Linked DNA regions of Saccharomyces cerevisiae S288C. Changing the gene in region 2 together with the main gene of any one other region gives a genetic interaction. Each region holds a gene or a part of one and is shown on either strand. Other genes may lie near its edges. The genes, in order: YLR162W and MAK32.

Evidence for each region.
Region 1: mutations in MAK32 (region 2) and YLR162W together harm fitness more than expected from each alone (negative genetic interaction), as found in Saccharomyces cerevisiae (one large-scale study listed by BioGRID).

Annotation. Positions count from the first base shown.
Region 1 is NC_001144.5:487,651-490,500, reverse strand, and holds YLR162W (uncharacterized protein), read right to left. Parts: upstream 929-2,850; coding exon 572-928; downstream 1-571. Other genes in the region: RRT15 (Rrt15p), read right to left, coding at 1-95; YLR161W (uncharacterized protein), read right to left, coding at 1,160-1,504. UniProt on the Saccharomyces cerevisiae protein: Overexpression confers resistance to the antimicrobial peptide MiAMP1.
Region 2 is NC_001135.5:150,707-154,631, reverse strand, and holds MAK32 (Mak32p), read right to left. Parts: upstream 1,796-3,925; coding exon 704-1,795; downstream 1-703. Other genes in the region: PET18 (Pet18p), read left to right, coding at 1-620. UniProt on the Saccharomyces cerevisiae protein: Necessary for the structural stability of L-A double-stranded RNA-containing particles. Necessary for growth at 37 degrees Celsius as well as for maintenance of the killer plasmid.

The DNA.
Region 1 (2,850 bases), on a different chromosome or scaffold from region 2:
TGTCCTAAGGGGGACTCATGGAGAACAGAAATCTCCAGTAGAACAAAAGGGTAAAAGTCCCCTTGATTTTGATTTTCAGTGTGAATACAAACCATGAAAGTGTGGCCTATCGATCCTTTAGTCCCTCGGAATTTGAGGCTAGAGGTGCCAGAAAAGTTACCACAGGGATAACTGGCTTGTGGCAGTCAAGCGTTCATAGCGACATTGCTTTTTGATTCTTCGATGTCGGCTCTTCCTATCATACCGAAGCAGAATTCGGTAAGCGTTGGATTGTTCACCCACTAATAGGGAACGTGAGCTGGGTTTAGACCGTCGTGAGACAGGTTAGTTTTACCCTACTGATGAATGTTACCGCAATAGTAATTGAACTTAGTACGAGAGGAACAGTTCATTCGGATAATTGGTTTTTGCGGCTGTCTGATCAGGCATTGCCGCGAAGCTACCATCCGCTGGATTATGGCTGAACGCCTCTAAGTCAGAATCCATGCTAGAACGCGGTGATTTCTTTGCTCCACACAATATAGATGGATACGAATAAGGCGTCCTTGTGGCGTCGCTGAACCATAGCAGGCTAGCAACGGTGCTCTTGGCGGAAAGGCCTTGGGTGCTTGCCGGCGGATAGCAATGTCATTTTGAGTGGGGATAAATCATTTGTATACGACTTGGATGTACAACGGGGTATTGTAAGCAGTAGAGTAGCCTTGTTGTTACGATCTGCTGAGATTAAGCCTTTGTTGTCTGATTTGTTGGCACGAGCCGGCGGGAGCGGGCTCATACTAACGAAGACGAACCAAAAGATACACAGTAGCGGGACGAGAGTCTCGCAGCTGTCTGGCGGGCGGCGAAGTGCGGGTAACGCAGTAGCGGCGCTGTGGGCGCTGCTCGAGCGTTCTGGCAGAGAGGCGGTCCGGGTAAGCGTGTGCTGCATCGTGGCTCTCAGGTCTGTTTCGCTGGTCTGTGAGCGCTGCGTGTGCGTGTGCGTGTGCTAAGACGGGGTCCGGGTAACGTGCTTGCGCGCGGAAAAAAAAAAAAGATTGCAGCACCTGAGTTTCGCGTATGGTCACCCACTACACTACTCGGTCAGGCTCTTACCAGCTTAACTACAGTTGATCGGACGGGAAACGGTGCTTTCTGGTAGATATGGCCGCAACCGAAATAGTTAGGTGTGGCAGCCGTACATATGGAAGCCGGGCGATGGCTCCGCCACGTGCAAAGTGCAGGAGCTTTGGAAAGAGCGTGCATATAGTGATGAAAACAGAGAGCACGGTTGCGAACGGAGGGTCTCACAATGTCTCAAAGGATAAATCTCTTGGTTTGCGGGCCGCATACAAGATATGATTGTAGTTTTTTCAATGGCTCTACTGTCCCACTGCTGTACAACAGAAAATGAGAGATCAGAGAAATAGTATTCCGGAAGCCAGTGGTGTTTACTTATTAGTTTTTTGACGCCACTGCGCGAGTTGCTGCCTAGCTGTTCCTTGGCCAACGCATATTGGAACTTCATTCGACTGATATGCTTACTCAGAGGTCCATTACTTCAAGAATTGTCTCACCTATCGGGCTTGGCGTTTGTACAAGAAGAAACTTTCATCACCTTTGTTTCGCCACCAAATGAAAAAAAAAACTTGCATGGCTTAGGTGGTTCTTTGTCAGAAATATCTTCTAAGGATCAAGAGTCTTACGTGATTCTAATCCCTTGGCAAGTCAGATCTCAAATATGCTCACTCGCAGATGAGTAGCAATGAATGCGACCAAGTGACTAGTGACTGGTGACGACATGAGCCAAGCTGGAACCAGCAGCTTTCACGTCGGCTTATAGCTCTCTATGGGGCAATCAACCACTCATAGTGACTGAAGATCTTTTTAATATAATTACATTGCTAAAAACGTCATACCGCCTTGTGAGCACGATAAACAGCATATGCATTGAGCCTTGTTATTCTTCGGAACTGGGGATAGTAAAATGCGACCCGCTTAGGATGATCAAGCTATCTTTGGGACGGAGTTTTGTCATGGGAGTGGTCATCCTACTGGTGATGCTTCAACATTTGATTTACTAAATTTTGAAATCGGCCGCAGAATAAAACTATTATGTCCAAACAATTGATGGTCGAACCAACGTTAAGGGTTTCAAGTATTGAATTGAACTTTTATGAGTTCTATAATTTCGTTGCGCAAATTCAACTAAACCACCAATATCCCCCCTACAACGCTACACTTTATACCGATAGAGGAATAACGCATAGAGCCTTCGTAGAATTCTTCAACTCGTACGTGATGGGGATTCTAAACCTATCGTCATGTCGCTGTACAAGGCTGCTGCCTGCTTTCAAATTCCCAATTTTACCATGTCCGTTTCGCTGAGCCGAATCGTCACACAAGGTAATTAGTTCTGGGTATCGCTTCAGTATAGCACTGGTTTTTTCCTTGTAAAACCACAGTCTAACAATTAAATGAAGCTTTTCGAAGAAATTAGACCATGTTAGACTGAAAGCAAAGACTCCGGCCCGTTCTGAGGTAAGTTCAATGAAATTGGACAGTTTCTTTTCAAGGTTAGGTTTTGTGTTCGAAAAAAATAGATTACCGCACCTCCTTTCCAAACCCCATGAGTTTCCATTAAGGAAGAGCAACGTCAATAATACCACCTTTTGCAGATGTGATTCAACTCAAGATGCTGTAATCTTTCCCTTCTGACCCTAGATCACCTCATGATATCCTTTTGAGGCAATTAAAGCTGCAGTGTAAACTGTTGAATATCTTTTTGAAACCAAAAAAAAGGACGTTCCACACTTGGCTGCTTTCTTGATAAGCGAGATCTTTACTTGGAGATCTCGCTTAGTCCTCCGAAGG
Region 2 (3,925 bases):
AAAAGTACGACGCCCTTGTTAGGAAAACCACAGAACATAAATTCGCTAAGGAACTATGTGCCGGAACATTGAAGGACCGTAGTTTGTACATCTATTTATCACAAGATCTGCAATTTTTTGAAACTAGCTTAAGGTTGATATGTAAGACGACTTCTTTAGCACCAACTACTCACGCTTTAATAACCTTAGCCAAAAAGATTGGATTTTTTTCTAATGATGAAAACTCATACTTTCATGACTGCTTAGAATTATTGGCACCATCCCTCACCAAGGAAGAAAGAGATAATTTTGACAATAAAGCGATCCCCGGCGTTGATGCGTATATTAATTTCTTAGATGAGCTGAGAAAGGACGCCTCAATTACATGGCCATCCTTAGTAACCAGCTTATGGGTTGCTGAGGAACTCTATTGGAGATGGGCTCGTGATACTCCTAGAGCCCCAGGGTTGCATTGGAAATATCAAAAATGGATTGATTTACATGATGGTGAGCATTTTCAAACTTGGTGTGAATTTCTAAAGGCTGAAGTTGACAAGTTTCCCGTCGAAGAAGTGGAAAGCATATTTGTGAAGGTTTCACAGTTCGAGTTCGAATTTTTTGAATCTTGTTACAACGCCTAATCTCAAGTAGTATATAACACTTACTTATATATATATATGTATATTTTTGCAGAAAAATAAGAGCAATGAACAAGCTGATATGATCATCGTGTTAGACTTTTGTAAAGATCGTTTATATTATATTGAAGACCGGACTGTGAAAGGTAAAATTTCAGTCTATCCAAGAATGTGATTCCGTTCCAGGTTTTAGCAATTGGATCGTACCTCGGTATTCCGAATTGTTCAATTATTGCGCCTGCAGCGATGTTCCCACATATACTAGCAATATCTAAGCTTTTCGTTAGGGCATAAGAAACTGCAAAGCCGCCAAGGAACGAGTTTCCCCCGCCAGTAGGATCTAGTACTTTAGACTGAGTTTTGAAATGGTAGGCGGGGAAATGGTCATAGGTTCGTCCGTTCTTAAACTTCTCACTTACCGATATGCTTCCGAGGGCACCGCATCGTAGAATACACATATTGTTTTCATCCATGAAATCATCGAAACGATGCGCTAATGCTAGACATTCTTCCAAACTAGTCGGTTCCTTGCTACTTAAACCAAATAAGCGACTTGATTCTTCGGCATTTGGAGATAATATTACCGTAACATCGTTCCTCTGCATTACACTTTTAATGTCATTTTGATGATCAAAGTCGCAAAGATCTGGGAATGGCTCCCAAATCACGATTGGTTTTGTGCCCTTTGAACTTTTCACCCGTAGCAGATCGTTTATTATGTCTAAGCATCTAGACCCAGAACATAGCAAATGAAACGCATGCATTTCATCAATTATCTTCTGCCCAAATGTGGAAATCCAGTCATCGACGTTAATCTGCTTCTTCGGCGTCAAAAACTTGAACTTTCTCAAATCATCACTTCCCTCGTAATAATTCAACCCTTTGGTAGTTAATCTGCTAAAGTCATCTCGAAACCTCACATCAGTACCCCATGAGTCTATTTCCCTTATAACTTCCTTTGGAAAGTCAGAGCCTCTGTCCACTATCCACTTCAAACCTTTGGATGTGACATTGCCGGAAGATATTATGCATGCACCCAAAATGGCAAAAGTCCCTCCGCCTCCTGGGACATTCTTATAGTGAATATTATATTTACTACGCTCGATGTCGTCTATGATAAACATGCCATTAGTTATGACTAGGCTTTTCGTTTCTGTAGAATCCTCTTCATTCATCATTATCACGTTCTTTATTTTCTTAGAACAGTAAACTTCTTAAATCAAATGTGAGAAGTGTTTTCATGTATAGCCAGGTTATGCAATAATAGAAGGGATGAAAGCTTTAGTCGCGCCTGTTTAATATGCAATTACTTTAGCACTACCGTTTATTGTCTTGATATGACATTTATTTGTCAGCTGAGGATCTCGGAAATTTTAAATGTAAAAAGGAAGTTCCCTAGAGTAATCGTAGCATTATCATACATTCAGATTCACAGAGCAACATGCAAGTTTTAAAATACATTATTAAGTTTTTGCAGAGGCAAATTATACATGAACACTCCTAAAGTACATTTAATTACAATTATCTCAGAGAAGATCTTCTTGAGTCCCAACCAACAAAAGTTTAAACACACAAAAATCGTAGCGTGCATCGTCAAGTTATGTTTGTAAGTACTGGGATAGTTAATTACTACATAGGAATATTCAAGATGTCTTTCTGATATCAGAATCGTTGTTTGTTTATTACGTCATTCCTCTTCATTTCAGTAATTCTTCTGAATAAAAGCGGAACCAAGACAATATACGATGTGCTTTTGACAGATTTGTACTTTTCATATTCGAGTAAATTTCCCTATGTTTGATGGAGTATCATAGTTTTGTTTTTCTTTTTGTTTCCTAGTCAGCCCTTTTCTTCCAGGTACATTATCTATTGAAAATGGACCCCATTATTGCTATGAATTCTGTATTACCTTTCTTGGATTGTAATTTTTTTTTCTTAAGTTATACTTGGGAACAAGACCAAACATGTTATCTTGCATAAACCTTATAAGCAAATTGGTGATATTGAACTGAGATTCCGATGACCGTGAATACCATCTAACAAGAAAATCATTTGGAATTTTGAGAAAATACAATATCCATAATAAGTACGAGAGATTAATTTTTGTTTTCAGATCAACATTCAAACACGGTTGTTAGGTGGTTGTTTTCTGATGTACTCACATGAGAATCACGTGAATTTTCAGATAGTTGTTGGGATTCCATTATTGATAAAGGCAGTAATATTATGTATACAGAATATACTAGAAGTTCTCCTCGAGGATATAGGAATCCTCAAAATGGAATCTATATTTCTACATACTAATATTACGATTATTCCTCATTCCGTTTTATATGTTTCATTATCCTATTACATTATCAATCCTTGCACTTCAGCTTCCTCTAACTTCGATGACAGCTTCTCATAACTTATGTCATCATCTTAACACCGTATATGATAATATATTGATAATATAACTATAGTTGATAGACGATAGTGGATTTTTATTCCAACAATTCTATATACGTAAAATTATAGCCTTTACCAACAATGGAATCCAACAATTACCAGCTATTCATCAAGTGATCAGAAAATAATATTGAGGTTTTAGTTCACATTTTAGTAACAGTATTTATATTTTTAAGTCACTTATTAAACGTAATTTTTCATAATTAAAGAGCCTTGTTGGCGCAATCGGTAGCGCGTATGACTCTTAATCATAAGGTTAGGGGTTCGAGCCCCCTACAGGGCTTTCTTTTTTCTTGGAAAAAGAAAGAAACTACATTACATGTGCCGCAAGCGCAAGTAACAATGTTTATAGCTTATCTAACGGGGAATGTATTTTAAATTCAAACAACTTGAGTTATTGAAATTATGAGTGAACCTTTCCGTCATACTCATTGCATTGCGCTCAAAATCTGCGAACGTATCGCACCAGCTATCTGAGTATAAAATAATAATACGCTTCATAATATATACTTTTTGGAACAAGTGGCCATTAATAGTGATATAGGATTGCTGTGTAAATGCTAATATCACATATAGATGTACATCTCGTATTACATGTGAATGTGCCTAATGTGGAAGGAAATTTCATACATGCAGTTCAGGTAGTAATGAAACCGATTTAAGATCTATTAATTGAACATTGATATGGTAGTTATACAAGAGTTATATTAATTATCACATTAACTGTATAGTAAGCTCCAAACACACATAATATTGATAATAAATAAGATGAAACAGTTGGCGATGTTTTATATCCCTCGCTTATAGAAGCATGAGAAGATTCATACTTAACCTTCATATTAATAGTACCTCTTCATCTC